Notamacropus eugenii: one gene and its partner. The protein of the gene in region 1 binds, or shares a complex with, the protein of each later gene. Links are inferred from orthologs where the notes say so. Each region holds a gene or a part of one and is shown on either strand. Other genes may lie near its edges.

Region 1 (16,401 bases):
CATAAACTATGATTTTTAAGCAGTTAACAATTACATACTATTACAAGCTAGTATACTTATTACACAATAGTAGGGTAAATAAATTAGGAAACACAGTAAAGATGGATTAAATCTGCACAACACTGCTAAGTGTCCCCCCAAATTAATTGGAATTTCCCTCATTAATTTCTGACTTGAGCCAGTAAATGGTTAGAGGCAGTTAGAGAGCTCAGTGAATAGAGCACTGAACCTAGAGTCAAGTGAAGACCTTAGTTCAAATATGGCCTCAGATATTTATTACCTGAGTGACCCTAGACAAGTGACTTAACTTCTGTCTGCCTCAGTTTCTCCACCTGTAGACTGGGGATATTAACAGCACCTACTTTTGTTGTAAGGATAAAATATTTGTAAAGTGCTCTGAAAACCTGAAATGCTATGTAAATGGTAGCCATCATTAATACCATTATTATTAATATACAGTGTTAATGTTTTGTATTAGTAGCGTATCAGAACTTTGATGACTCCTTTAATGCCATGATCATACCTACCTCTAGATTTAAGTATATTTAATAGTAGGCTACTATCTAAAAAGTTTTCTTTAGTTCTTCTTAGATAGCTGTGATATTTACTTTGCGTCGGTTCCAACATATTCTAACCTACCATAGAATTAGAAGTAGTTGAGCCATGATCTTAAAGAGAGCTTATTCCTAGCATGAACTTAATAAATTCTTTTTTGTTGTTGCTTTCTCAATTAGACGAGAAATCAGGAATTGAAACTTCCCCTAGTTATTTTGAAAAGAGACTGAATGCTTTTGATTTAGTGTGGAAGGAAACATTGACCTGCACAGGATTACCAAAGTTTGTGGTTAGCTATACTGTACTTAGAATCTGCAGTCTGAAGTAGAGGTCAGATTAAAAAAAAAAAAAAAGCAAAAAAAAATTTTTGATTATATTTTTGCTTTAAATCAAGAGCGCTTCCAGACCAACTTCCTAACTCTCTGAGAAAATGCTCTACATTATATATATCCCAGACATATCATGTCCTGTGTATGAAAGAAGAAATTCAGTGTCTCTTACCTAGTTATACTATATGGAAAAAGCCAAGTCTTTCTTTAGATCAAGGAATACTCATAATCAAAGTAGATTCAAATGTATGTTCTTTCTCCTGACTACCAAAGGGACTTTTATTCCCATAGGCTTTTACCAAGGTTTTCTTTCACTGTAACAAAACAGTCATCACAAAATGATAAATTTGTATCATCTCCTAAAACAATCATTTATTAAAATTACAATGTGTCTGTTAAAAAAAATTAAATTACCTTAAGCATAGCTTCTATTAGTTTCCCTTTTGTCCAGGTCCCACAGAAAAAGGAAAACACTAGAAGCACATGTCCCCAAAGCTCTTGAACTCTCATCAGGTTCAGACCTGCTAAAAAATGATTCCTTGAGCTGAGGAGTACTACTTCACAATCAAAGACCTTTTTCACCCATGAATGATACACTTTCTTCTCTTGACACATCACATGTAGAATTCTACCACAGACCCTGCAAAGACCCAATACTAAGGCAGAAATTAGAGCCAGATTCCCCAAGGCCTAACATCCAGACCTATGGAACCCAAAAAGAATTGCCTATAAATAGATAAAGAAAAGCAAGGCTGCAGTAAGCACTAACTAAGCTTGAAGTTAATTGCTTCTGAAGCCAAGTAAATAATCCTCCTTTAATAGGAATGATGAGCAAACCCTAAAAATGTAGCACAAGGCAAAGACTGCCAATTATCAGTGGACAACTTTTCCCAGAGAACTGACAACTTCTTTGCACTAATCCTTATTGAGCTTTTATCAGGAACTTAAAATGTTCAGGATTCTTTATTTTTATCTTAGAAGTGGGAGCATGTTTGTCAATGATCAATATGATGAAACACTTTGAAAAAATGTCAGAGAAATGGAATGCCTGGTAAAGAATATGTACAAAGTAGGTATTCGTTCAGGACCTGTTGAAATTACAATTGATAAAAAAGCAGAGCTCCTATGTCTTCCCTCTTTCTCCAGCAGCCACTGCTAAAACTTAAATTAAAAAAGATATCCTGCCTTTCCCCAAATCTTGCTACAGCATAAGTAATCTATCACTTTTCATATTCATACAAAAACTAAATTATTACTCTACACACAAATGCATTCTCTCTCCTGGCTAATTCACACGGCACTTTCCCCCTCTAAGTTGACAAACAAAAAACCAAAAAACTTATGGGGGAGAGGGAATGAGAGCAAGTGTGTGTGTGGGGTGGATGTGTGGGTGTGTGGGTGTGAGTGAGAGAGGGAGAGAGAGAGGGAGGGAGAGAGAATGATGCAGATACACTAAGGTACAAAGCTTTCCACTGAGCTTTCAGAATGAAATCAGCCTTCCTTTGGAGGCTGCCAGGTTACACAATTAAGATTTCAAAAGAGAGGCTGCAGGTGAAGATAAATGATTCTTTAGAAGAGATCAAATGCAACTGTCATCTTGACTCCCTGATAAAAGCAGGGTCTGGAGGATGCACGTCTAGGAGCAAGAGTCAAATTCCAACATCGGAACTAGAGCCCAGGCAGCCTGTTGCCCAGGCTGCTTCTCAGGGTTACTCATCATTTTCTCAAGGACCTTTTGCTGCATCATCCTTGTCCACACAGGTGGTGTGATGTGGTTGTGATGACAGTCTTTGTAATCCCAGAATTACCTCCCTCCTCATGAAGAAAAAAAGCAGCAAAGTGGGTGCAAGGAGGTTTAACTAACCAAGGGCCCGCCCCATTGGTGCTCACTGAAATGAGAGGAGTCGCTGCACAGCAAAAACTAAACAGAGGCTCGGAGCAGCCCCTTGGGAAACGCTTCTCATCCCAGGCAACTGACCTAACTAATTCTGCCTAGAGTCACCAGTTCCTTCGGTTTTCTTGCCTGGTTTTTGCATACACCACACATTTGTCGACCACTGTCACCCCTCTGCTTTCAGTCCTCATCTTCTAATTCTTCTGAGTTACCAATGCACTCCATCCCCTTTCCAACACAACTGCAGGCTTCCTTCTAAACCATTCCCCCTCGCTTCCCCCCACCATGCCTTGTTTGACTCCCTTTTATTCCCTTAATTCTGTCTTCAAAAGATGCTGGTTCCTATTAACCTTCATCACCCCCCACCTCAAAATTTCCTCCGAGGTTTTACTGACCAAACTTCTCCTCCTTATCTGGTGGAGGCGGGGGAGAGGTCCCTGACCGGCCTCGATCTATCCACAAGCCCCCTTTCCTTGAACCCTCTCCTGCTCCTCCCCTAGTCTCACTCCCGGACCTCTCTAAGCTGGCCTCACCTTCGCCACCCTCCCCCGTTCTCCCTTTTCTCTCTTAGCCCTGTCCCATCCCCCTTTAACTCTCCCCGAGTCCTCCCACTTTCCCTCTCTTAACCTTCGCCCTCTACCCAACTCTCCCCTCTTAGTTGGTGGGTCTGGTTCTCCCTCCCCCATCCTTTCATTCCCCCTCTCCCTCGAACCTTCCCCCGCCCATCTCCAGTCAATTCCTTAAGCTCGGGTGGGCTAAACTCCGGGGCCAGGCCCCCAGGCTCCCCAACGGCAGAACCGGGCCCCTGACCGCTCACCGGCCCCCTCCTCGGGTCCTCGCCCTCCTCGGTCTCCGCCTCTCCTCTCTCGGGCTCGGGCTGCGGCTTCGGCACCCCAGGGCCTGGGGTCTCCTCCCGCCTTCCTGCCGAGGCCGGGGGTCCGGGACTACGCCCGGGGTGGGGGAGCGGACTCGCGGGCAGAGAGGGAGGGAAGGGGGCGGGGGGACAGGTAGAGAGGAGGGCTGGGGCAGGAGGGGGCCGCGCCGGGCTGGTCCGCGCACCGAGCAGGGGCAGGGGGCGCCGGGGAAGGGCCTCCCACCCGGAGAGAGAGGCCACGAGCGAACGAGCCCGGGGCGTGGGCTGGGGAAGCCAAGCCGCTCCTAGGCCCAGGTGGAGGCGGGGCCCGCAGGCGTCCCAGCTCGGAGCCCAGGAGGCGGGGTCTCCTGGGGCTCACTGGGGAGGCCCTCTCCCCCAGTGCCCCGGTTATAGCCTCCTGGGAAGGGGACCGTGCTCAGCCTGCCTGCGGAGATGGGGGCCTACAGGAGCCGTACCAAGAATTCTTTAGACCCGGCCAACGTGGGGGGAGCGGGGTGGGGGGTGGGGGGCGGAAAGATGTGTTTTGCACGCAGGTTTTACTTGTTAGAGAAGACTGTGCGGTGGGTGGGTGGGATCACTGTAAAGTGACAGTGACTTTTGTTTTTTGAAAGAGAATCAGTAAAACCTTTTTTTAAAAAAGAAAAAGCACCATCGCCTTTATCACCAAACATCTGTCCTGTCCTTTCTCCTATGGACTGCCATCTCCTTGAGAGCAAACCAGTGTCAGCTGTCAATAACTCAGTGTTCTGTAGGAGGAAACTTGCACCCATTACCTCCGAGTCGTGTGGGAGACAAAGACTGCCCCTCTACCCCAAAAGACACAGTCTGTGTCCTTAAGGAACTTGCATTCTATTAGGCGGTATATATAGCCTTTTTTGCGGGGAGAGGGTGGAGGTGTTGACGGGGCACATAAGCCTTAGAAATCCAGGGGGAGCTGGGGTAGTCGCACAGGACCACAAGAGAAAAAGCAAGCAAGACTCCTTTCTTGCCTAAGCTTCCAGACCTGGCTCTAGCCCCATCTCCTCCAAGCCTCCTTCAAGGACAGCCCAGCCCAGTTCTCAGTGATGGCTGGCTCCCAGTGGCATTTATTGGCTATATAATTGGCTGCACAATCAGTTACGACCTTATGGCATCCTGTGTTGTTTTGAACTAGTATTTAAATATTTTTACTGTTACACTCAACATGAATATTTATATTTTTACACACCATTCAGCAAACACTTATCAAATATCTATTGCTTCAAGGCACTGTCAAAGATGCCTGGAACAAAAAGAGACAAACAACAATCTAAGAAAGGCAGGGGATGTTTTAATTTGCATTAGTTATGAGTTATTGTAATGAAAGTGCTTCGTAAAGCAGTATAATAAACAAACGTCTGTTAATATTGTAGCTGTTATTTCTACCCCTTAGATCCCTAACATGTAAGGTCATTGGAGGTACAGATCAGTCCTTGTTCCATCTTCAGTGATTATGATTAGCACACAGTTGGCACTCAATAAATACTAGTTAATTGAATGATTTCACTTGTAATGATCTAGACTCCTCAACTAAATGTAAGCTTCTTGAGAGTAGGGACCATAACTAGTACTTATAAAACCTTATAGCACCTGACATTACTGTCCTGCACAAGAAACAGTGATTTGATAAGACAGGGTTTTCATACATTGTGGAGGACTGGATAGGGGTAGGAGAAATCAACAAGGCCTGGTTAAAAAACAACACACACAGGAGGCATTCCTAGACAACTAAGTGGTGCAGGGGATAAAGCTCTAGACTGAAATCAGGAGGACTGGAGTTCTATTTTGGCCATTTTCTGGCTGTTTGACCCAGGGCAAGTCACTTAACCTATCTGCCTCAAGTTTCCTCATTTATAAAATGGGGATAATAATGGCAGCTACTTCCCAAGGCTGTTGTGAGGATAAAGTAAAATATATGTAAAGTACTTTGCAAACTTTAAAGAGCTATATCAATGCTAGCTTAATTATCATACATATACTAGAGCAGTGGTGTCAAACTCAAACAGAAACCAGATCATTAAACCAAATATCAGGATCGTTGGAGGCCATATACTGACTTAGGAAACCACATCTCATTGTCTTATTAAATATTTTCCAATTACATTTTCATCTTGTTCCAATGTTTTGGGGAATGTTGGGGGCTGCACACATGCTGCCTGTGTGTGGTGTCAGATACCTCTTCTATAGAGAAGTGTGAATTAAGTGACTTTTAAACGGGGACTTAGATGTGTGGTTTTTTAGAGCTGGAAAGCTGATGATGATACATAATCTAGTCTAACCTGTTCATCTTGGGAAAACTGAGGGCTAGAGTAGGACAGTGGCATGCCCACAGTCACACTGAAAGTTAGTGGCAGAACCCAGATCTGGTGATCTTTCCACTGCACCACCAATCAAACTAGGAATTAGAACAAATGGTACCAATTTGCTGAACCACAAATACTAATTGCCTAACACAAATATTAATTTTACTGATCTCAAACCTAAACTAAAGGTTTTTTTTTAAGCAAATAGCTAGCAAACCAGTTCAAACCAGAACTAAACATTCCTCCTAAAACAAAACAAAAAGATCAAAATATTCTCACCACTCAATCTAAAAAACATTTATTAAATCTAAATTCATAGTAACAAAAGTTGAAATTAAAGTAACACTTGGTGGTTTATAAAATGCTTTTATATCCATTGTCTACAGCCATGGCCTTATTCAATTCTCACAAAATCCCTGTGAGGTAGGTAATAAATACAGTTATCAGTCCCATTTTACAGATGAGGAAACAGAAACATCAGCTTTAAGTGATTTAAGATCACAAAGCAAAAAAGTGGCAGTCAGAATTCAAACCCAGGTCTTCTAATTTGTGCTAACTAAACCAAAGGTGCCAATCTTTCATTCAGTCATAGCTTATGATGCAGGTTATCCACTCAATTCTTCCTAGAAGGGTATAGTTAGTGCACAGGGGCCTAGGTCACAGCCAGAGTATAAGTTCAGAATCTTTGGAGGGGTACTTAGCTAAGCAATGACCAAAACAATGGTTGTGAGACAAGATTTCCAGTCCTTGATGCCTACAAATACAGTTGTATTTAAAGACACCTACGTGGAACTACCTGGTGCCATCTACCTTTCAGGCTTGGTATGATATACTGTAATACGCCCAGGGCAGGTCAAGCTTTACCCTTCCAAAGGAAAAAACCAATCCATTTCCCAGACACCAGCCAACACTGGCAGTTCAAAGGTATGACAAAAAACCAATCAGCATTGGTGTATACATTATAAGCAACTGAAAAGCATATCTAGGGAGGGTAAATGAGGACTGTGACTCCATTAAAATTGGGATAACTTGCTAGTGGAAGATCTGAACTACTAAAAGAAATGACCTCTCCTATGGTTAAAAAAAAGGAAACAATTACTATATACTAACATAAAGCCTTAGACTTCTGGAAACACATTTTTAAAAGGTGAACTTAATCGTCACAGAACCTGTGTAAGAGAGGAAGTTTTATTCTCTTTCATTTACCTACAACAAAGCAAATTATAGAATCAATAAGGAACTTAGCTAATGTCACTTGCAAGTAAATATTAAAATCAAGTACAGAATCTTCTCCCTCCAGAATCCAGTGATCATTAGGCTACCACAGTAATGTCAACTAAAAATATAGGAGGCTCCCTTCTGGACTGGCTAGGGATGACAGAGGCCTGGGGCCTGATGCGGCCGTTAGTGGTGTTTAGTTTTCAAAAAATAACAAGAGGAGGGAAAGTTGTAAACGTTTTCCTTTAAAAAATTCACCTTAGGGCTGTGACAATGTTTCTTAAGTCCCCAAATACAATCTACTTTTAAAAGTATTATTTTAGGCTAACTCATTCATTTTTTAAAAGGCCAACTTTCTACAGTCTGAATTAGATAATTAGTGAAATTCAGAAGAGACACTGGTACACCTGGTGTACCTGCCGAACTCCTGTCTCGCTGGAAGGCACCTTCGAGGGGCTGAGCTGGAATGCTGGCACAACTTCGACCACCGCTCAAGCTTTGGGCTTTGGGAGGGGAGAGGAGAGGAGGATGAAAGGGGAAGGGAGGAAAAAGAAAGCGGGGGAGGGGGAAGAGAGGAGAGTGCAATGAGAGAGGAGGAAAGGGGAGTGCCATGAGAGGGGAGAGGAATTAAGGGGAGGGAGGCGGGGGGAGCGTCCCCCGCAGAAGATCGCCGCCTCCCTCCCCGCCCCCGCGGCTCGGAAGGATAACGGCCGGCCCTCGCCCCGCGCGCCCACACTCACCTCGGCGGGCTGGGCTCCCGAGTGGCCGCCGGCACGGCTGCCCGCTCCCCATCCCCGCGGCTCGGGCGGCGGCGGCGGCACGGGGGAGGGGCGGGGCCGGCCGGGGCGGGGCGGGCTCCGAGCACGCGGCCCTATGGGCAGCGCCCCGCGCGGGCCCTTGGAGCCGGAGGCGGGCCCGCCGCCGCCGCGGCCGCACGCAGCGCTGACCGCACTGGCCTGCGCCGGAAGCAGCCCTGAGCAGCTGCGCAGCTCCGGGGCCAAGGCGCCCCATCGGGGGCACCCCGCGGCAGTCCCTGGTGGAAACCCGGGCTCGGGGCACCATGCGGGCCGGCAAGGCCTTCCGCAAGCGCCGCGTCGACTCGGAGTCGGAGTCAGACGAGCAAGACAGTGAGGAGGTCCGGTGAGTGGGGAGCGGGGCAGGGGGCGGCTGGACTGCTGTGCGGAGAAGCCCCGACCCAATGACATCCCTCCGGGATCGGCCGAGCCCCTGGTGTGGGAGGACGAGGTCCGAACGGGAGGGCAGCCGGCCTTGACCCTAACCCCGAGCCTGCGGGATTGATCTCGTACTGCCCGGCTTTTATCTTCTCCGCCCCCCGGGGGGAGCGAGCACCCCCAAAACGATGCGAGAGCTGCGGGGGTTCCCCGCGACCAAGATGCTGCCCTCCTGCCCCCGTAGCAGAATGGGAGCTCTCGGAGGACAGGCACTGGTTTTGCCTTTGTTGGAATGCTGTTGTCTTAACTGGCAACTGTTGAATGTATATTTCGTGTGTTCTCTTCCAATGACAATTCATTCGTTCCTTCAGAGTGTTACTTGTGTCACATCTGACGTTTATGTAACACATAATGTCTTGTGATTCCCGTAACTACCCTGTGAGCTGGGCAGTAGAAACCTTCTTCTTCTTACCTGCGTTGACTTATATGTGTGTTATGCTCTGCCTCATACTAGACAGAAGATTTACAAAACTTCTCTCTTCCGAGAGAAAACAGGACTGTATTAAATCTAGGAAAGAAGGGAGGGGAATGGGGAGAATGAAAGAGAATAGGTAGGAGATATGCTGAAACCTAATTTGTCACTCTAAAAAAAAAATTAATTCTTGACCTTTTTTAAACTCCCCCAATCCTCTCCTATGAACACATGTACACGCATTGGATGGTCAAAAACTGCTACACTCAGGGACTGTTGTCCCCCAGCAGATGAGGAAATCTGTCAGACTTTCTGAACCTGTCCAGTAGTTGGAAATACAGTGTCCCTTTTGGGGACAGAGCCTCAGCGCCAGTGGATGGAACTCTCAATAACCAGACCCCGTTTTATTTTGATGTTTGGACTGCTTAATTATTTCTCTGTGTTATATTCAGGTTGAAGCTTGAGGAAACCAAAGAAGTTCAGAGCTTGAGGAGACGGCCTAATGGGGTGAGGTAGGTTTAGCCACCTTGGATTGGGGACCACAGTCAGAAGAGAAGAAAAAAGTATGTCCTGGATCCCCTTTGTGTAATACTGTGACAAATGCATAACTACTTGAAATAGCCCATATTCTATGTTAAACTGTATACCAGGGCATTCCATCGCCTACCTGACTTCCCTTGCTTTTTCCAGATGCTTGTCAATAGTTCAAAATGAGGAGTATGCAGAGTAAAAAATAGAGATGTTTAGTGTTTATTTTGCTTCATTTTTCTCTGCTAAGGAGAATGACCTTTGCACTTAAAATAACAGGATAGAAAAAATTTAAAGAGTTACCTTTGATGAATTCAAGTCACCATGACCGCATAGTTTATATCCTTGGGAACTGAAGGAACTGGCAGAAGTCTTGAGGCACTGTCAGTGATATTTGGAAAGATCATGCAGAATGGAAGCAGTACACAGAGGACTGGATTTGGAATCACAAGACCTGGGTTCAAGTGCTGGCTCTCCCTACATTTTTGACCTGAGGTGGGGGGAGGTGGAGAGAGAGATAGAGTTCTGGACTAAATCTAGTTCTAAATCTAGCTAGCTCTAAGAACGAAGAACATATCTGTAAAGTTGAGAGTTGGCATCCGTTTTAGTCTGGTTGGGTTTTTTTTAAAGATGTGATCTTTCATGACATGCCTTTTTGGCCCCCATTATTCATATGAGTTTTACTTGTCAGCCTGAATAATGAATTTCTGAACTGATTGCTTTACCTTTTCCTATCTTTGAGTTGTACCCACCATTTTTTCTATTCAGTGCCGTAGCCCTCCTGGTTGGAGAGAAAGTACAAGAAGAGACAACTCTAGTGGTGAGTTTTGTGGACATCTCTGGTGAATGCTGTAATATTTGGCTAGGAAGGATGACCCTGAAAGGTTACCAAGTTAAAAGTGATTTAGTTCAGTAAAATAGTGTGATATAGTTCAGTAAAGCACAGTTGTATGATGAGCAGAACTGAAATAGGTTGTCCTTCAGAAAGGTTATCTATCCTACATCAGCCAGCATTTATTGATACCTCACCTATTCAGGATCCTGAGTGTTAGGGTCTAGCACCCAATACTGTTCCTAATACATAGTAAGTGCTTAATAACTGTTTGATAATTGAACTCTGGGTGATAAAAACATGAATGACAAATTATCTTTTTCCCCCACCTAATTTATAAACCATATTTGCTTTTTCATTATCATCATTATCTTTCTTATTTGGTAGGATGATCCATTTAAGATCAAGACTGGTGGAATGGTGGACATGAAGAAACTTAAGGAGAGAAACAAGGACAGGTTGGTAGAAAACATTTTTAGAAACCATTGAGAACATTTTCTCTCCCTGTTACTACACTCAATTTTGATTGTCCACAGTAGTAGGAAAACTCACTTGCATCCTCAGAGAGACTGGGGAAAACAGAAGCTGTGAAAGAATAACTATTTTATGTGTTGTTTTTTTTTAATGAATTTAGTACATTGTTTTCCAAGGAAATATTAAAGATACCATAACTCTGTCTCCATTTAGGATTAATGAAGAGGAGGACCTCAACTTAGGAACATCATTTTCAGCAGAAACCAACCGAAGGGATGAAGATGCTGACATGTAAGTTTTTATTTTTTTTACAGTATGAGCAGATAAGGTTTTTATTGTGGGTTCTAAATCCTCTTTCCTAGCTGAACCAAGAGAAATGTTTGCAGCTTCTAGAAGGCTTCAGAATTATTTTCCTTTCTCTGTCTCCTACCCTTTCTTGCTCAAAGACCAAATCTTAAACCTAATTCATTAACTCATAGATTGGACAACAGGTCCCCGCCCACCTGGCACAGAGGGAATGTAAATACTAAATAGTAACTGTTTCTCTTTTCCCCAGGAACCTTGAAAGTCTTCTCCCAGATTGGTTTTTTTTTAAATTTTTATTAAAATGGGCCACCCTTGAGTAACTACTTAGAGAGGTCTATTCGTTGAATGGGTGTATCTCACTCAAAGTGAGAATCTGATAAGACCTTAGCCTGAAATGTCCAGGGTCCCACATTGCATCCTGGATCATCTCCACTCATCCTGATGAATATCAGGCCACTGGACCCAGATGGCTCTGGAGGAGAAAGTGAGGCTGGTGACCTTGTACCGCCCTCCCTTACTCCGATCAAAGTCAACTGCAAGACATGTCATCATCTTGATGTCATGATCCTCTTCCAGAATGAAGGACAAACACAACAACCCTTTCCCATCTACTTTGCAGTTCCTGAAGTTCCCCTAATGCACTTTCCTCTTCTGCTGGACTAGCAGAAGGGCTGTGGCTTAGAGTAGGACAGAGCTAGTATGTTAACCTGCTGTCCCTTGGTATATTCTAGGATGAAATATATTGAAACTGAGCTGAAGAAGAGGAAAGGAATTGTGGAAAATGAGGAGCAGAAGGTGAAGTTGAAGAATGCTGAAGACTGTCTCTATGAGCTCCCAGAGAGCATCCGAGTTTCCTCAGCTAAGAAAACAGAAGAAATGCTATCCAATCAGATGCTGAGCGGCATCCCTGAGGTGGACTTAGGCATTGAGTAAGTTTCGTCCTCTTACTTTATTCAATCAATAGAAATTCAGTAGAAATAATTCATTTATTAGAAATAATCATAACTGGCATATATAGTTCCTTAAGATTTTGAAAACATTTTATTTATATATATATGTATATATATATTTCATTTGATCTTTACAACAACCCAGGAGGTAGGTACTATTTTTATTTTCATTTTACAGATAAAGGAACTGAAGTAGACAGAAGTTAAATGACTTGCCTAGTGTCATACAGCTAATAGGTATCTGAGACAGGATTTGAACTCAGGTGTCCTTGACTCCAAGTCTAGTACTTTATACAGGGCAGTGGATAGAGCACCAGTGCAGGAGTTAGGAGAACCTGAGTTCAAGTCTCACCTCAGACACTTGACACTCACTAGCTGTGTGACCTTGGGCAAGTTACTTAACCCCAATTGCCTCATCCTGGGTCACCTCCAGTCATCCTAAGGAATATCTGGTCACTGGATTCAGATGGCTCTGGAGGAGAAGTGAGGTTGGTGACCTGCACAGCCCTCCCTCACTCAAAACAAAGTCAAGTGCAAGTCATGTCATTATTTCTCTGATGGCATGGTCTTCTTTGGCAACAAAGGATAAACACACACACTTTATACACTACCACCTGGCTGACTAGTTTACATGAGGTAGAACTTAAGGGGAATGTTGCTGAAACTTTTGTGCTAAAATCAAAAGTAAACTTAATGTCCCATGTTCTGCCCATGCTACTTCAAGAATAGCAAATATAACTGGGGAGGGCTGACAAGGACTCTGGACCAATTGGCTGAACAGATTTGGAGAGCTGGTCAGCACATATGGAAATACTTCTCTTAACCCAGTCTTTGAAGTTATTTTCTTTCTCCCTATCTCTCCCTCCCATGAGAAGTAGTGGTGGTAAAGTAGATAGAGAGTTACCTTTGAAATTGATTGTCCTCCCCCTGGTCCATACTGACTGTGCTACTGTGGGCAAATCACTGAACCTCTCAGTGCCCCACATAATTGAAAAGGCAGAAGTAGCAGTGCAGGTGCCAGTCTGCATTGATAGAGGAAGTTTCCTGGGAAGTGTGTGTTCCTTTGAAATCACAAGGGTAACACAAAACACAGACACAGACACACACTTTCATCTAAAATAATCTTAAGGAAGAAGTGGAAAGGTAATTTTCCTTCTCTCCAGGAGGTGGGCTGCTGTTGTGGTTGTTCACAGGTGCCACTCAGATGGCCCAGCAGGTGGAAAGGCTTGAGGGAGGGCCCTTGTGATTGAAAGTGAAAGTGCTTTTAAGCACTGCACTTATTCCATCTGTCCTGAACACACCCCAGAGGAATGGTGTTCCAGATTTTAGCAAGGCCTCTTAATTCTCCTCTCAGTAGTGAACTTGGCAATAATTAGTTCAGTTCCTCCCTTAATCACCTGTCTTCATTTTGGCTTAAAACAACTGTTTTTAAAAGGGAGGAAATATTGCAAATCAATATAGTATAGATAGTAACAAGTCAGTGCAGTAACCAGAAATGATCTCTGTGAGTGTGTCATTCCCTTTTAAGGCTCCTTTGCATGTGGAGTTGGCCAAGATCTCAGTAAAGAACTCTCTTCTTCTCCCACCTGCTTCTTTCCAATCCACGTTCCTCTGTGTACTTGGGGAGGGGGGAGGGAAGATGGCAGTCTTATAAGACTCTTACCTCTGAATTCCCCATATTTTAAGGTTAAGAGGTTTTCCTTCTCTTCCCCCTTAGTGCAAAAATAAAAAATATCATTTCAACAGAAGATGCCAAGGCACGCCTGCTGGCTGAACAACAGAATAAAAAGAAAGACAGTGAAACCTCTTTTGTTCCAACCAACATGGCTGTGAACTATGTGCAGCACAACCGATGTGAGTGTGTTTCATGCACCCCAGCTCCCTCACCTTCGTCCCTCTTTCAGGGCACCCGAGTGGCCAGGTCTCATGTTCTCTGCCCTTTCTGTTACTTCTGTTCCACTCTAGTGACCAGGAAAATCCTTAAGTCCTTAACTTCTGAGTGTTGCACATATAGTAGGTGCTTCTTAATGTTTGTTGAATTTGTTGTCAAATTGTTCCTTCTTAGTTTATCATGAAGAGCTCAACGCCCCAGTTCGGAGGCACAAAGAAGAGCCGAAAACCCGACCCCTCAGGGTAGGAGATACAGAAAAGCCAGAACCTGAGAGTAAGAGCAAATGTCTCAGTACTTTCTTGCTGTTGGGTGGTGGGGACAGGAAAGAGAAAAAAAGGCATTCATTGGCAACGCATTTTTTACAGAAACTTTATGTTCTGGGCATTTTATCTAAAGCTTTTTTTGTCATAACCCTTTCAAAGCTTGCAAATTTTTCTAGAACACCTGGAAAATTGGCTAGGCTGTGCTTTGAATCAATGTATGTAGTAGCAGACATGGGGCTCCCTTGGTAGCTGCTCTTGAACACTCTTCCCCAGAGTGGGTACTCAGGGACTCCACCTTGGCTTCCTTCCTTCCCAAAGCCCAGTGCTATCAGGCTTTTCCTTTAATCCTAAATAAAAAAACTCGTAAGTTTCTTTCTGTTTTGGCTACTCTTATTTTTGGCCCCAGGAGAGTGTTGTTTAATCCATGTCTGCTTCTTTGTCCTGGTCTCGAGCCAATCCTCTTGACAGCTAGCATTGGGTGGGGTTAGCCCTGGGGTTCCCATTGACCAGACCAGTGGAGTGAAAGCTCAGGCAGGTCATTCCAAACCCTAGGGTGGACTCTGGGTCTGTTGTCTGTGGGCCCACCTGGCTGTGTTGTAAGAGGCTTATGATTAGCTTGGCTACAAGATGAGTTTCTTGTGTCCTGTGACTGTTATCCAGGACTCACCTATAGGGGATGTGACCTTCCTTGGCCCAGCAACAGAATCACAGGTCCCTGAAGGAATCTATCTCTGATAGCTCCTGCTTGAGGATACTGGGTTTGTTGCCTAAGATAATTAGTTTTAAGCTATGGCTGACATCTTTTTCTTCTGTTTTTCTTTAAGGGTCTCCTCCAAATCGCAAGCGCCCTCCCAACGAAAAGGCAACCGATGATTATCATTATGAGAAGTTTAAGAAGATGAACAGACGCTATTGAGTCAGTTCAGTGGGAGCAGATGGGAAGGGGGTTTTTGCAGAGAATTTATTTTTTGTCAAGTACAAGATGCAGTGTAAATATCACAGAAAGAAAAGTTTGTTTGTTTTAGATCTGTTTAGGCTGTGTCTTATAACCTATTTTTGGATTGTTTTTTTTTGCAAATAGATGTGTTAATGAATGTGACCATGTGAAAATCAACTGTAATGCTTTTGCATGTTACCTGCTGGGTTTTCTTAAGCAGTGGATTGATATCCTCATTAAGCTGTGAGGTTTTCCTTTTTTTGTTAAATAGTAGTCTTGTTACTGTTTCCAAATCTCCTTTGTAAATAAGTTGGCTTTCTTTTGATATTTGCGTAGGGTGAAGTAGATTGTAGGAATTATGTGATCTTATTCTTTAAACAATTTTCTTATTCTTAGACTTTGCTCCACACCTTAGTTAGAAACTCTTGTTTAAGAAGTATCATTTAGAAGATTGAGGTTTGCTGCTTGCTGTGTGACCTTGAGCAAGTCCTTTCCTTTCCCTTGAGCCACACTTTCCTCATCTATAAAATGGGGCGATTAATAACTACCTTACTTACCTCACAAGGTTGTTGAGAAGATCTAGTAAGTACTTTGTAACCTTATGGTGCTCATTCAAAAAAAAAATAGTGATAGCAAAGAAATCTAGGATACAACTAAGGAGGCAACAGTAGCTTTTCTGACTTTCCCAAATTCCTATTGGTTGTTCCGTATAATTTGTTTCTGTATTGAGAAGTTGTAGCTAAGTGTTTTAATTGTTACATAGAGTTATACATAATTCTTGAATAGAAGTTACAATCTGACACTTTACCTCTATTTGGGGGAGATTTACCTTCTTCTAAATCTGCTGGTGGCTGGCATTTCAGGTGTATAGGGAGCTAGGGTTCTGTATTCTCCAGCCCCAGGACAAACCTGAGTGACTGAAGTGGACTTTTCAGGTCCAGCTCAAAAGACATAAAAAAACATGTTTTATCAGGCATTGACACATTTTACAAGATTACTTCCCATTAAAAATATTGCCACTTGGATAGTAGTAGGTTTCCTTGAGGTTTTCTCTCAAATTAGGCCTCACTCAGGAAGGGGAAGATAGTTATCATCCTGTGATAGGAGGCTATAAAACTCCTGAAATGTTCTCAAATGTTTGTGCTACAGGCAGAAAATTTAGATTCAAGGGAAGTCAGGTCCAAAATATAGTATTTGAGGGCCTGTCAATTAAGAAAATGTAAAGTCCTCCACAAATTGAGGGATTATTCACTTTGCCTTTTGAGATGAACACATAGTAAGCATCTAATGAATGCTTTTTCATTCATTCATTAAACTAATAATATACTTACACTACCTACCTCATAGGCTCTGAGGAAAGTGCTTTTTGTTGTAAAATGCTATAG
Region 2 (15,910 bases), on another chromosome or scaffold:
TATGTGTGTGCCAGAACAGCCTTTTTACCAGCAAGTGGAACAGAAGGATTTTCTGGCACCCAGTGTAATGGAGGCCATCAGGAACCTTTTATAAACCAGCAATGTTTCCTACTTGCCATTTTAATTTGGAATTTCCAAGAAAAATATTTCCATTTGCTTTGGAAGATTTCAGCTCTGTGTTTTTAGCTGAAAGTGCGAACTGGTCAGTCTTAATTAAGGGCACACCTCCCATTTGACTTCAAGTTTCATCCTTCAGTTTGCTGCTGAGGTCAGTTTGTAGTTGCCCCATTTGGATTTTGTTCAGATAGCACTTTTTGGTTTTCAGATGAATTAGCCAATATATTTATCAACACTCCCTGGGGCCCTTCTCTCATATATTTGTAGAAAGAGGATGACTGAGCAGTCATTGCTGTTTAAAAGTGGCATTCTTATAACAAGCTAAATGGGAGCAAACAATTTGTAGTGACTTAAATTTACTTTCGTTTAGTTTGTGACTCTACGTTCCTGGTGAATGGTAATTGTTGCTGTCACAAAGTTGAACACCTACCCAGCCCTTGCCCCTCAAAAGCTGCTGAGTGTCGAATGAAAGAGATTTTTAAAACTAGCCAGAAGTTTTCTTTAATAACTTGTCCTATGAACCTAAGGCTAGAGTAGGTAAAAGGTTCATTTTGTAAATAATGCTGGTTCAGAATAGTAATGCTAACCTTTGAAACTAATTTATGAAGAGGAGACTCACCTCTCTGCATATAGTTTAGACTGACTGAAAATGTTTGAAATCAACCCACCCGCATGCCACACAAATGTGGCCTACTTCCCCCATGTGTCGGTTTAGAGTGAATGGAGTTAGCACAACCTTTTCAGCTCTGACCCAAATGTGAACCAAGCTGCCTGATGGTGAGCTAGCTAGCACATGGCCAGTCCAAATGTATTGACATCCTCTGCCCTCCCTCAGCCTCCCTTGGTGTTTGTTTAATTCTCTTTGACTCGTCCAGCTGTGAAAATTAGGGAAAACAAGGCCCCAGAATTGCACACATTTCTTTGCACTATTGCACCACCATTCCATCCAATTAATATCAATAAACCATTTTTAAAAGTTTTTCGAGTACATTTATGTGAATCAGTGTCCTGATAGAATGAATGGTGAATCCATACTCTACTGTCCCCTAGAAGCAAAGGTGGTGGTACCAGATGAGTTCTGGGGGCAAAATTGTGGGGTTAATCCCTTCTCTAATACTTCTGGAAATAATGTGGGCATTTGCTCCTTCTACTCATATAGATCTTAGCCAGTCCCTCTGTGACTGGGAGAATGGTCTGTCCCAAAGGAGTGGTATGACTGAAAAAATGCAAGATACAGTAATAAGCCTCTCTGAGCTCAGTTCTACTGATCCCCAGAGAGTATCTATACTATATCACTCTGTTGCTATGTCTGTACTTGGAGCCTTTTCAGGTTTGGAGGCCCTGCCACAGTTTGTGATCCCCCAGGACGGCCTTTGAGATCACTACCATGCCTCAGTGAGCCATTGGAGGATGACTCTAAAAGAGGCCTCCTTGCAGCACTAAAATCCTACGGTTCTCAGTCTGTACTAGCATTCCAGGGGATTTGGTTTGTCTGTCCAGAGTAATGCCAGATGGATGCCTCATGAGCTGTTCATCAGTCTCCTCCATCGCTTCCAAAGATGTGGAGACCCCTAGAGAGTTTGAACAAAGCCAGGAACCCCTCTTCTCAGGCAAATCAGAATTGTATGTTCCAGTTGGAACCTACCTGCCCATTGGGAGGATATTGAAAGTAGGAGTCTGCTAGGTCCTCAAATGATCTCAGTCTAAGTGTAGGACGAAAGGGTAGAGAGAAGAGTGTCTCATGGCCCACTGGTATCCTGGGCTCTCAAGCAAAAAAAAAAAATATGTCTAATGCAAAATGGATTCTAGAAGGAAGAACTGCTTCTCTTCCTCCTCCTCCTCCTTTCATGGATGTTTCAACTGCTCAGAGGCTTGTTGAGGATAGTATTTGTACTTAGGATCTTCATGGTTCCTTCCTCAAGATGAAAAGGCCCTTGGCCACAATGTAAGGAATGAAATTAGGATTCAGTTCCAGCTCCTACAGAATGTACCTTACCCTGAGGCCTTGGAGATAGAAGAGGAGAAAACTATCTAGGAGATAGTCTGTGCCTCCCAAAGTTTCAATAAATACTTTTCTGTTCAGTCTCTTCAACTCCACGAAGCATGGCGCCTTTGAAATCTCCAGGACCATCTATATGAGCTAGGGAATGATAGCTCTCCCATTGGCACTTTAAGGTTTGTAAGGCAATTTACACCCATGAAGTAGGTGCCAGGTCATCAACATTTTAGAAATGAAACAGACTTAAAGAGATGAAGGGATTTGCCCAAGGGATTTTACAATTAATAAGTATCTGAGGCAGGGCTGGAAGCCAGGTCTTCCTGACTCCAAATCCAAGGTGTTATCCATTCTGCCATGATAACCTCACTAGAAAGATACTAAATGAGAGATTCCTTCTTTGGTGGACTTTAATCCTAATCTAGACTTTGCCTTCAGATGGCTTGATCAACTTGTTTGGTGGGAGAAAGAATTGTTATACTTTTCCCCAAAGTGAAATTTGACTAGAAATAACACCCTTATGTGGAATCTTAAGCTCTACAGAGTGATTTAGTACTTTCATCTCCATTTCATAGATTAAGCATTGGAGGCTTAGAAAAGTGAAGGGATTTACCATGATCCTGGCAGATGTGTGTAAGATAGGGTCTGATTGCAGATTCCCTGGTTCTTGTATTCCCATACTGCCCTTCAAGTACTGTAATCCATTGGTGTCAGATAGTCAAGTGAGTTTTCAGATTCCAAATGTGCCTCCAATGTCTTCTGATTTCTCTTCCAGGAATTCATTTCCAAGTTTTAGATCGGTTCTCCTTTTCCATCTGTCCCATCATGGATATATCAGAATGCAAAGGCAACTCCCCAGGCTCTACAGATCACAATGTTGAGGACTTAGATAGCTGCATCCCAGTCTGCAAGCCTGTCCTGACATCACTGATGATGCGAGTACTCAAACAAAGAGATTTTTTTTTGCATTATAAGAGGGCTAGGTAGTGCAGGTTGTCCCCCTATACCAAAAGGGTTGTGTTCACATCCACTGTGCTGGAAACAGAGGGAACATGGCTAGAACAGAAAGGATTATAGGGGTAAGAAAAACATTTGAGGCTTCTTGGGCTATGGGACTACCAGATTTTGGGGGAAAGTACACCTGGGTATATTGATTGCTAAGAAATGGAAAGGCCAGAGAAGCTTCATCTAGGGTAATGATTGAGAGTGGCCAATAGAGCTTAGAGGTCATCTTGTTTAACCCTGTCTTTTTCTAGATAAGGAAACAGGCCTAGAAAGATTCATTCATTTGCTCATGGTCACACAGGGAGTAAGGAATAGAGCTGGCTTTTCTCTACCTCTAAATGTAGAGCTCTTTCCACTCTACTGTTGACCAAAAGTTACCACTACTTAAGTATGGATCAAAAGGGCAGAAAGCTTTAATGGTTCCAATCCCTGGAAGTTAGTGAGTGAACCTTGGTCTCCTTTGTTGCTTAAAGCATTTTAAAGACATAATTATTTCTCAGAGATCACTCTGAAAATAAGGTGTGTAAATTATTCCCATTTTCCTGAAGTCATGAGTCACAAAATTGCCAGGAGAGAAAGAACAGAGGGTGGGATTCAGCCTGCCAGTCTAGAACCTATTTTATAGACTTTCACAAGGTTGAGGTGATAGATGAAAGGCAGTATTCTAGCCCATTACTGTCTGCATGGCGTAATGCTCTTTGAGCTAGCCAAAAACACATTTCTGTTTCTGGACAGGAAATTTGCCTAGGAAGAGGTGATCCTACAAATGTACTGAGCTAACCTGTTTCCCAAGAGTCCAGAATTTCTTAAACTCAAACTATATTTCCTATGTTACACCTTGAGCTTCTCACCAGGTGTTAGGCCCAGTTAGTTTGAGATACCAAATCTCACTGAAATACACAAAGAGGACTAGCTCTTTGCTGAGGTCTAAGTGTTGTGTGCTAGCTGAGGTATTTCTGGGAGAATACAGGATCTGTTGGGGTAGCAGTGGTTCCCAGTACTCTTGAGTTCTTCATGTGTTGGCTGGATGGCCACTTGTATGGGGCTGCTGCAGAGGGGGATCATTGGGATACAATTTGAATTTGCAGACCTCTGAGGTTCTTTCCATCTCTGTGATTTACAGGAGTACATCTCATAGTAAAGGCTCCTGAACCTTGATTTGTATTGGAGTGTGTTGTTCTTTTGCTGAGGTCACTTTAGCTCCACCTAGAGGCAACTAGGTAGCTCTGTAGATTGAGAGCTGGGCTTGGTATCAGGAAGACCAGAGTTCAAATTCTGGCCTCCGGCACTTAGTATGTGTGAACCTAGGCAAGTACCTTAACCTCTTTCTCAGTTTCCTCAACTGTAAAATGGGGATGATGATAGTAATAGTACCTGCATCCCAAAGTTATTGTGGGGATCAAATGAGAGAATATTTGTAAATCACTTAAAACTACCTGACACAGATAGGCACTTAATAAATGTTTGCTTCCTTCCCTTTTTTTGGATCCAAGAATTTGTTTTCTTTGAGGAAAAGAATGAGGAGACTTCACTCCCCATCCAATAAAAAGAAAGGAAGGGCTGGACATAGCATAAGAGTACAGATAACCAGCAGAACTGATGCCTGGCTGATGGTGGATTGTGTTTGGCCAAGATGACTTGATACTTTTGCCAAGGGAGAAAAGTCCACCTCTTTTGCAGCTAATTTCAACTTTGTATTATAAGCTGCTGTGTAAGTTTTATCAGGTTCTCACAAATAGCATTTACTCATTAGAAGCCCTGGATTTCCATTTTGGTTCTCAGTGTAAGGCTTTTCCTTAATTTCTCATTTCTCTCTGTGTATAGCTGCTGCCTTTCTCCAAAACTGATCAGGGCTTTAGAGAAGGTGTCTATTAAATCCCAGTACTTTCTAGCATGGCATAGCTTTAGGAAAGTAGGACAGACAGAGCATGTATGTGTCTCTGAATCATCAGTATTGGAAAAAAAAGAGTAGACTTCCAGCCCCTTTTCCTCCATGCCTTCATTGATCTGCCTCAGGAAAGGCTTTTATCTGTTTTCCATTTCAGGCATACCACTGAAGCATCAGTGGTTCTGGGATCTTACTGACATGTGGACTCATCAGAGAAGATAGATCCTAGGAATCCTTGCTTTCGCATCCTATGTACATCTTATCTATGTCATTCCATAACTCCTATTTAGTTTAAGTACTGGAAGCCTTTCTCTGGACCTTTTAAATATTTCCTGGACATCGCTCTACAATTTGGATCTCCTATTTGTCATCACTTGTTTTTTATGTGATCAATCTATTTCTTTTCCTGGATAATATATGGCCTTGATATAATCATCCATCACAAGTCATGGCTGATAATATGTTACAACCTCCTTAAACCTCTAGCAAGTCCCTTTCTTCAGTTGGTTTAAACTGCAGAATACTACAATACAATTGGAAGTTCATTGCAGAAATATCAGTGAGAGCTGAGGTCTCTTGAATGAAGGTTTATGTGAAAGTTCTGTAAGCCCTGGGTGAAAGGAGAAATTTCTAGTCATTTTTGAATGAGGTAAAAATCAGTCATGGGACTGTTCTACATGTTTTTCAGTTACAATTCAGCTACAAAACAGGATTCCTGTTTTGAGTTTGTGGAAAGGCACTGAATGAAGGTGCTGAGTATATGAATCATAGGTTCTAGAGCAAGAGGGGAACCTTGGGACACCATAATCCCTTTTAATTTTAGATCACAGGGTATTGGTTCTGGGAAGGCCCTTAGAATACAGAATGTCAGAGGTAGATGGGAACTTAGAACATGGAATGTCAGAGCTGGGAGCAACTGTGAAATACAGAATGTCAACAACTGAGCTAGACTATAGAACACAGAATGCCAGACTTGGAAAGAGGCTTAATACATAGAATGCTAGAACACTGAATATATAATGTTAGAGCTGGGAGGTACTAAGATACCTATGTACACTATCAAAGTTTTGTTGTTGTTCAGGCATGTCTACTCTTTATGACCCTATTTGAGGTTTTCTTGGCAAAGATACTGGAGTAGTTTGCCATTTCCTTCTCCAGCTCATTTTACAGATAGGAAATTGAAGCAATCAGGGTTAGTGACTTACTCAGGGTCACCCAGCCAGTAAGTGCCTGAGCCCATATTTGAACTCAAATCTTATTGACTTCAGACCCAGTGCTGTATCCACTGTACCACCTTGCTGCCCTAATATCAAAGCTGAAGGGGCCTCAAAACAGAAAGTGACAAAGCTGGAAGCAGTTTTAATAACAGAATGCTAGAGTACAGAAATCGTGTGTAGGACAACACACATAGAATGTTAGATCTTAAAAGAGCCTCAGAGCTGGAAGGGGCTTTAGAACACAGAATGTCAGAACTCGACGGTACCTTAGAATGTAAAATGTAAAAGTTTAAAAGAGTCATAGAACACAGAATGTCAGACTTAGGAGGAACCTTACAATACAATGTCATCTGGAAGCAGCTGTAGAGTATAATGTGTCAATGCTGTGAAGGACTTTAGAACATGGAATATTACAAGTAGAAGGAAAGAGGGAAACAAGTATTTATTTAAGGATCTACTGTGTGCCAGGTACTGTGTTAAATGCTTTACAAATATTATCGCATTTGATCCTCACAATAACCCTACAAGGTAGGTGCTGTTATTATGCCCATTTTATGGTTGAGGGAATTGAGGCTGCCTGAAGTGAAGTGACTTACCCAGAGTCACACAGTTTGTAAGTGTCTGAGGCCAGGTTTGAACTCAGGTCTTCCTGAGTCCAAACCCACTACTCTATCTATTGCAGAATGTTACAGTGCTCGGGGGATGAGATCTGAACCCCTAAAAGGAAAAGCCCCTGAACTTTCCCACAAATTTCAGGAACCTGGTCCCTGGTGTTTGTCTGAGGCCTCTGACCCACCCCAGCCCACCTTGATTACTTAATTAGTTTACTTGATATTCCTTAATGCCAGCCTGATGTCTTTCTTTTTCGTGGCCTCATTAAAGGAGCCATGCCCTGGCTACCTCTTAAACAGTCCTATTCAATGAATGGGTGTTGCCTCACCCTAAGTGAGTACTTGCAAAGACCTTGGCCTCAAGGTCTCCCATTGCATCCTGGGTCATCTCCAGTCATCCTGATGAATATCTGGTCACTGGATTCAGATGGCTCTGGAGGAGAGGTGAGGCTGGTGACCTGCACAGCCCTCCCTCACTCAAAACAAAGTCAAGTGCAAATCATGTCATTATTTCTCTGATGGTGTGGTCTTCTTCCCCAACGAAGGATGAATGCAATCCCATCCAGACCCCTTTCCCAGTTAAGGCCCAATCACCCCAGCCTACTTTCCATTCCTTGATTCCATCTAGACTTTCTCACTGTCTTTTTGTATATAAAAGTACCAATCTTACTCCTATTAAACTGTGCAGATTCTTAGAACCTCACCGGTCTAACAGGTGTTATAATAAAACCTCACTACTCTGACTGAAAGGGCCTTGAGTGGTTGAATTCTTTCGAGGCAGATCCCCCCTGGACCCTTGAATTTTGGGATTCCCAGCACCCCTAGATTGCATCAAAAGCTGGAGGGACCTTAGAACGTGGAATGAACGTCAGGGCTAGGAAGGACCTTGGCACACAGAGAGGCCTTAGAACTGGGAATGTTGGAGCTGGAAAGGTCCTTGGAATATTAAAATATCAGGGCCTGGAGGGGCCTTAGAGTACAAAAATACTGCCATCAGGAGGGCCCTTAGAACCCAGGATGTCAGAACCAGGAGGGCCCTTAGAACCCAGAGTGGCAGAACCAGGAGGGCCCTTGGAACCCAGGATGTCAGAACCAGGAGGGCCCTTGGAACCCAGGATGTCAGAACCAGGAGGGCCCTTGGAACCCAGGATGTCAGAACCAGGAGGGCCCTTGGAACCCAGGATGTCAGAACCAGGAGGGCCCTTGGAACCCAGGATGTCAGAACCAGGAGGGCCCTTGGAACCCAGGATGTCAGAACCAGGAGGGCCCTTGGAACCCAGGATGTCAGAACCAGGAGGGCCCTTGGAACCCAGGATGTCAGAACCAGGAGGGCCCTTGGAACCCAGGATGTCAGAACCAGGAGGGCCCTTGGAACCCAGGATGTCAGAACCAGGAGGGCCCTTGGAACCCAGGATGGCAGAACCAGGAGGGCCCTTGGAACCCAGAGTGGCAGAACCAGGAGGGCCCTTGGAACCCAGAGTGGCAGACTGGGAGGGGCCTTGGAGAGGGGCTCCAAGGGCTGGAGTTCTCTACTGGCCCAAACGCCAGGGCCAAGGCTCAAGCCACCAAACCCACGTGCAGAAGCGAGGGGCGGGGCAGAATGGCGCATGCGCTCTCGGAGACCTCGCTATTTGGTCTTCGAGATGGGGGGGTCTATTTCGGACGGAGCGGGTGGAGGGGGCGCATGGACTGCTGGGATCTCTCTCCTCGCCTCCCCTCCCCAGTTGAGTCCTCCCACTTCCCGGCATGCTTTGGGTTCTCCAAATGGGAGGGGGAGACGCAAGATGGCGGCAGCCGCGAACTCAGGCTCGAGTCTCCCGCTGTTCGACTGCCCGACTTGGTGAGCGCCGGGGTCCGGGCCTGGCCTGGCCGGGCCGGTGGGGCGGGGGTGTCTCCGGGGCGCGGCGGTCAGGCCTCAGGGCCTGGGGCGGGCGGGCGGACGAGGGACGGGGAGAGGAGGCGGCCTCCATCCTCCATCCTTGCTTCCGTCTCGCCTCCTCTCCCCTCACCGGGCGGCCTGGGGCCCCCGGGGTCGGGCTGGAGGCCGCTGGGGGAGGGGGAGGGCCTCTCCTCCCTCCCCCGCCTCCTCCGCCCCACCTAGGTCCCGGAGGGGCCGGGACGCCGGGGCCAGCCCTGCTTCTAGAGGGAGGCCGGCAGGCGGGCGGGCTGGGGGCAGAGAACCCGCACACGTCCTCCCTTCCTGCCCGAGGGCCGCTGCTCGGGGGGCCGGGAAGCCCGGAAGGGGGTCTGGGTCTGAGGCCTTCAGGGCCCTCCCCCCAAGCCGGGGCCCCAAAGACCCCCAGAGGCGGCGCCTCCAGCCCTCCCCCTTTGACAGGGGAAGGAAGCCAGGCGGCCGACTCCCCGGGGGTCCTGCGGCGTGGGCTTGTAGAATTTGGGGAAACCTCCGAGGTGTTTAACCGGGAGGAAGATGGGGAGCCGGGGCTGCAGAGCCAGACCCGGGGACTCCTCTTGAGCGGGGCGCAGACTTGGCACCGCCGCTCATGCCGTGCTCTGGCCGCGGGCACCCCTTCTCTCATGCTGTGCTAAGCAGGAGGTGGTCCAGGTCGTGAGATGGCCGTGCGTGTTACTCCTGCTAGTTGGGACAGACATCGGGGGGTCGGACAGACAGACACGGAGAGGGTTGCCCTGAGGGCTAGCCCTAATGCCCCCAGGCTTTCATAGGAAATGAAATGATACGGTAGAAAATGGGCGATCTCCTCCCCGGTTCTTGTTCGAAAGTTCATCCCTGGGCCCCTCCTGGACGGGGTCTCATTGGAGGCTGAGATGACCATCATAGCTGTGGTGGATGTGGGGAAAGTACGACCTGACAGGGGCAGCCGCAGATGCTTCCAGGACCCCTTTGTGCCTTTGTCCTCAGAGGATGCCAAGGCAGGGAGGAAGGGGTTCCTAGGCCAAGGTCACCTCGGACTCCCAACTGGGCAGCACACCTTTTCCTTTCGGAACTCAAGGTCCAAGTCCGGTCCCTACTTGTACTGTGAGCCACCAACTTTGTGCTTTCCTGACATGTTATTTCACACCTGCAGCCCCAGATTCCTCTTAGCTTATTCTGCCTTTTCAGATTCTAATTGGCAGACCTTAGCATCAAGCCCAGATTCCCTGATCCGCTGCGCCGGAAGCTTCTATCTTTGTAGGCCTGCCCTGCAAGGTAGACATATGGTTTAAAAATATAGGTTTCTTTCCTGCTGTTCTAAATATTGCTTAACTGAGGTCTGTTTTGGAGCAGTTGAATCATTGGAGAAGTACAGCATCGAAAGTGGAAAGAAGCTGTAATAACAGCGAAGGAGATGGCATTTCTACTTGAATGTGAACTAATTATAGGCTGTTTGGAGAGCTGTGACACTCAATGGGAACAGAAACTGTAAATAGCAATTCATTGTACTCATCCTGAAGGTGTTTTTCTCTTTATTTTCTAGGGCAGGTAAACCCCCACCTGGTTTACATCTGGATGTAGTTAAAGGAGACAAGTTAATTGAGGTATGAAAATACATATCATGCATTTTTTCCAACATGGGAAAACATGAGTCATTTCCCACCCTCATTCTTGTGCTTTGTTTTCCAGTAATGCTATTTTCAATTTCCAATTTTTTCCATTAAAAGCACTTAATGGTATAATACATTGAACCACACTATCTCTTTGCAGACACTGAGTTGTATGTTAGCTTCTCCATCTTCCCGGTGAGGAGTTTTTAATAGGTCATGGATCTTTGAACTGTAAGGAAAGGACGTGGGCAAAGGACCTATAAGAAGTTTCTGTCACTCTTTCTGGGAAATAGCATGGGATGTGTGGAATGCACTGAGAATTAATTAGCTGAATAAATCACATGAATACAGAGCTTGAGAAAGAGGCGTCTGTAAGAATTGTCCCTGAGTTTTGCTCAGAGGATTGGACAGAGCTAATAAGGAGCCTTTTAAAAGAGGAATGGGGAGGATGACTTTATCTGAAAGAGCCCATAATTGGAGGCTGAAGCTCCCTAACCATAATCTGGATAGAACTTTTTAAAAGAGCTTTCAAGGTTAGAATTGTTCCTGGGTTGTGACATATTTGTCACTAAGAGTTGGTGAAGTAGTGTAAGGAGATGGGCCAAAGAGCCTCTGTGACTGAGATCAGTTTCAGCACTTAGGATTTTTAGTCCAAGCAATATTATTGAATTATGATTTCTCTTTGATGCACATTGTTCATTGTGCTGCCCCACCATCTGCTTGCACTATCCACTCCTACTGTGAAGGACCCTCTTGACACAGTTTGTTGTTATCGGTCCCTGTTGGAATATGCTGAATTAGAGTGTGAATTGAAATGAGGAGCTGGCTCCGTTCTGTGCACATACAGTGTAATCTCAGGTCAGTCACTTGTAGTTGTTATGTCATAGGTCTGCTTCTGAAAGTAGAACTTTTAAGACCCCCCACATTGAGATTATTACAAGAAGTACTTCAGAAGATCTGTGAATCTGTGGTTTCAGCAGCGCACCAGTGCAGATCATAGCCCTTCCACGCTTTAGTAGACAACCCATTCATAAAGTACAGTGTCCAAAACTCCCCAAAATTATCACCTGGGAGTCATCTACTTCTTGCCGAATTTTCCAGACTTAGCTAGGCTAGGCTCTAGTGACAGATAGATGAATCCATCACTGTTCTCTACCCAAAGGTTTTCAGGCTTGGTATAATTTGCCAGACCTTGCATTTCAGTGGCATGGCCTTCCAAGAGCCCAGGGCATCTCTGAGACATGGTAAGAAACACCTGGGAAGTTTAGTGGAAGATTAACATGAAATACTGCATTACAATGTATATGAAGTGTTTTATAATAGAGCATTCCAGAAATGCCTAATAGTCTTTGCTAAAGGATCCTTAGGGAAGAAATTTGGTTACTATTGCAATGACCTTCTGGTTGATCTCCCTGCCTCAAGGCTCTCCCACCTCTAATCCATCCCCCCCCTCAGATCTTGAGTAGATTTTCTAAAACTCAGGTCTAACCATGTCACCCCTTAGTTAATAATCTCCATTAACCCCTCTTCCCCCCCCCCCCCCCCACTCCTCCAGATTAAATAGAATATTCTCTGTTTGGTGTTCAAAGCCCTTCATAACCTGCAGCCACCCTCACCACACATATGCATGCACGCACCCCCATGTACCCTGCAATCCCATGACACTGGCTTTTCTTATTGTTCCTCAGGTAATCTGCCCTGACTATCCCCCTGCCTGGGCTTCTTCTCTTCCTCATCTCCCCTTCCTGACTTCCCTGCCTAAAATCCTACCTTCTACAAGAAGCCTTTCCTAATCCCTCGTAGTTGTGCCTTCCCTCTTATTTATTATCTCTCTTTGTTTATTGTTTATTCATATTCTCCATTTATTATCTGTTATCTTCAGCTGATCCTGTCTGAATCTTGTTTGTAGATAGTTGTTTGCATGTTGTCTCCCCCATTAGACAGTGACCTCCCTGAGGGCAAGGACAGGATTTTTGTCCTTTTTTTTAAATCTCATCACAGTGCCTGGCACATAATAGGCTTTTAATAAATTCTTGACTAGAATTCAACTGATATCTCTATTATCAGTATGGGGGGAAGAAGACAATTAGGCATAATTTGTAAGATTGGCTGTTAGTTCCTAGAATGAAATCTCTTTAAATGCTCCCTTAAACGACTGGGTGAAACATATCTGGCAAATTATGATCGAAAGAGTGTCTTTTGGTCATTTTTATTAGCAGCAGACCAGGACCGGTCTTATCTCTATGGAATTATCAAGCACTTGATACTAACCAAGCTATCTGTATCCTGAGCTGCTCTAGAAGGTTGGGATGTGTCTTGTGATAGCTGGGTTTTATAAGTGCAATATTATAGTAAACCATGAGTCTTTTAAGCCCAGCATGTTGAGGTGAGCACTCTGGGTTATAACTCAAAGGTACAGTCCTGATGATAGCCCGACTGGAATAATGGCTGGAGTGAGAAGCAGAAGACCAGCCTGCTTGAAATGTATTCAGACTGAGATAGTTCCTATAGTCAGAAGTAGTTGTAACATTGTGAAGCAGGGACATTGAGAACAGTGGAGCGATTTCTGTCAGACTTACTGTAAGCCTCACTTTATTTGATGCTAATCTCAGGACCTGTAAAGAGTCAGCTTGCTATCATAAGTCACGATCTATATTTATAAAATATGAGTGGAGAATGCTATGAGAAATTCAACCTATATAGGCGTTATTTGTTTTATATATATATATATATATATATATATATACATATATATATATTTTTACAATTTGTGGCCTACCTCAGAATTTCAGCGAATTCAAAAGAACAGACTTATATTAAAGCACTTTACTTTGTCCAAGTTGGTGAGGATACATAAGATGATGGGACACATGGATACAGATAACTCTGATACAAGGCAGAGGGAGATAAATGCAAAGAAGAAGTTCAGACAAAATACTGTGAGCAATTTGAGAAGGAAAGTCACTTTCACCTGAGGCATGAGCTCTAGAGGGCTCTGGGAAGAGCTTCACGCTGGACATTGGGTGGGATCACAACAGAGATGGAAAGAAGCTGTGTTAGGCACGGGGCACAGAGACAGTGCAGGAGAGCGTGCAAGACAGAGACCAGTCTGACTGGATTGAGAATATGTGAAGAAGACTAGAACGAGATGAGGCCAGAAAGGGTTGGAATCAGAATGTAGGGGGCATCTGGAGTTTATATTTTAGGGAGTCGCACCGAGGGCATCCTTGAAGGTTTTTGAGTGAGGAAGATTGGGAAGATTACTTGGGAATCCAGTGTGAAGATTGGATAGAGAAGGGATAGGATAAAGGTAGGACGGGTAGTTAAAAGTCTGTTGTTATAACCTACATACGAAGAGAATAAGAATGGAACTCAGGTATTTGTGGGGGTGGGGGGGAAGGAGGGAGGATTCAGAATCAGACTGAGGACAGTTAAGTGGCATTATGGATAGAATACTGGGCCCAGAGTCAGGAAGACCTGAGTTCAAATCCCACCTCAGACTCTTACTATATGTGTGACCCTGGGCAAATCCCAAAACCGCTCTGCCTCAGTTTCCTGATCTGTAAAATGAGGATACTAATAGCACCTGTGAGGGTCAAATGAGATAATATTTAAAGCACTGAGTGCTGTGCCAGTACCTGGCACATAGGAGGCATTTAATAAATGACTTGATCATTTCCTTTGTTCATGCTGTAGAAGTGCTCGACGGCTGCTAGAATGTGTGGGGTAAGGGGGGGGGAAAGTTAAGATTGATGTCATTGGGGTCCTGGGAGAGTAGTGATATCATTAACCAGGATGGAGGAGGTGAGGGAGGGAGAATGAGTTCATTCCTAGACATTTCTGAATTTAAGCTTCCATTGGTACATCCAGATGATAACATCTAGCCAGAAGTTGAAATTTCAGCCCAGGAGCCCTAGGGAGAGAGTGAGGTGGAAGATGGGAATTTGGGAGTCATTTGCATAGTTGATAATTGAAGCCATGGGAGTCGATAAGATCCCCAAGGAGAAGAGAAGCAAAGAGCAGAAGTGTGGGAGGTCTCATGCTCAGATCCTTGCTTGGTTACTTCATGAACTGTGTGACCTTGGGCGAGTCATTGCAACTCTCTGAGACTCCGTTTACTCAACTGTAAAATGAGAGCATGACAGTTTTAGATGCACAATACATGAGCCAGAAGAGGAGAGAGGTATCAAGAAGGAGGGCACATGCTACAGAGAACTCAGTAACTGAGTGACTCAGACCTGGGGTCTGCCAGGCTGAAACTGGAAACCATCCTGTGAGTGACGGCTGTTGAACATTGTGCGTGTTGAGAGTAGAACCACATATCCAGGTTAATGTGAACTTAATTTAAGCTGAGCCCAAAGTTTGAATAATAAAATTACCATGCCCATGACAGGTGTCAGACATGCAGTAACAAACTGAAATGTGCTTGGGAAATATTTAATGAAATAAAATAGAATCAAATATTAATAAGTGATTTTCTAAGTCACTGTGCTGCTGCAGGGATCTTCTGTGCATTTTAGCAGCTCTCTCTTTTTGAGTTTGATGCTCTTACCTCGCTGCACTGGGCCTGTCCCTACTGCACTGCACTGTCTGCTACTGATAGAGCTTATTGAAAACATAAATAAATTAATGAAAATGTTATGACCTCAGTGTGGTCGATTGTGTCTTCAGTCATTTATCTCTCTTTTGTAATAGAAAAACTGAGGCAGCCAGGGAAGCAGTAGTCTTCTCTGGATCCAGTAACTGAGAATTTCCTGGTTCCCAATTATGCCATTCCCTGGGCTGCCTTTCCTTATTACCCTACTTTATCTAGGAAAAAATTGTTTAAAAAAATGAAGTTGAGTTTAAAAGGAACTTGGTTTTGTTTTTATTTTTTTATTTTTTTTTATTTTTTATTTTTTAATGTTTAACAATCACTCCCATACAATTGCGATTTTATCCCCCCCACCTACCCCCCACTACCCCCCTCCCTCCCCACGACTGCATACAGTTCTGTATAGATTCTACATATACTTTCCTATTGAGTATATTTTCACTATAGTCATGCTATGTAGTCAGACTAAGATGAATGAAAGAAATCGTATAACAAATCAGAACATGATACACAAACACATACACATACACAGACATGATCTGCTACATTATGTGAGTGACTTCCCTATTTCTCTCTCTGAGTGTGGCAGGCATTTTGCCTTGAGAACCACCATTGGGATTTTTTTTTTTTTTGTAAGAAGTTCTTGTGTTATTACAAAATTCTAAGTCTACCAGAAAAAACTCTCACACACTGTGGTCGTTGCTGTGCATAAAGTTCTCCTGGTTCTGCTCCTTTCACTCAGCATCAGGTCATATAAGTCCCTCCAGGCCTCTCTGAAGTCTTCTTGTTCATCATTTCTTATGGCACAATAGTACTCCATTACATTCATATACCACAATTTATTCAGCCATTCCCCAATTGATGGACATCCCCTTGACTTCCAGTTTTTGGCAACTACATAGAGTGCTGCTATAAATATTTTTGTACATGTGGGACCCTTTCCCATTTTTATGATCTCTTGGGGATATAGTCCTAGTAGCG

The links.
Region 2: C1H9orf78 (region 1) and PPP1R8 share a complex: the UniProt entries of both Homo sapiens proteins name them as parts of the spliceosome. The link is inferred for Notamacropus eugenii from reciprocal best matches to the Homo sapiens genes C9orf78 and PPP1R8.

What each region holds. Positions count from the first base shown.
Region 1 is NC_092872.1:481,400,620-481,417,020, reverse strand, and holds C1H9orf78 (splicing factor C9orf78 homolog), read left to right. Parts: upstream 1-8,043; 5' UTR 8,044-8,251; coding exon 8,252-8,331; intron 8,332-9,287; coding exon 9,288-9,347; intron 9,348-10,131; coding exon 10,132-10,183; intron 10,184-10,582; coding exon 10,583-10,653; intron 10,654-10,882; coding exon 10,883-10,960; intron 10,961-11,706; coding exon 11,707-11,904; intron 11,905-13,642; coding exon 13,643-13,779; intron 13,780-13,990; coding exon 13,991-14,089; intron 14,090-14,903; coding exon 14,904-14,995; 3' UTR 14,996-15,303; downstream 15,304-16,401. UniProt on the Homo sapiens protein: Plays a role in pre-mRNA splicing by promoting usage of the upstream 3'-splice site at alternative NAGNAG splice sites; these are sites featuring alternative acceptor motifs separated by only a few nucleotides. May also modulate exon inclusion events.
Region 2 is NC_092876.1:68,905,084-68,920,993, forward strand, and holds the start of PPP1R8 (nuclear inhibitor of protein phosphatase 1), read left to right. Parts: upstream 1-8,433; 5' UTR 8,434-8,441; coding exon 8,442-8,674; intron 8,675-10,268; coding exon 10,269-10,329; intron 10,330-12,589; exon of another isoform or gene 12,590-12,756; intron 12,757-15,910. UniProt on the Homo sapiens protein: Inhibitor subunit of the major nuclear protein phosphatase-1 (PP-1). It has RNA-binding activity but does not cleave RNA and may target PP-1 to RNA-associated substrates. May also be involved in pre-mRNA splicing.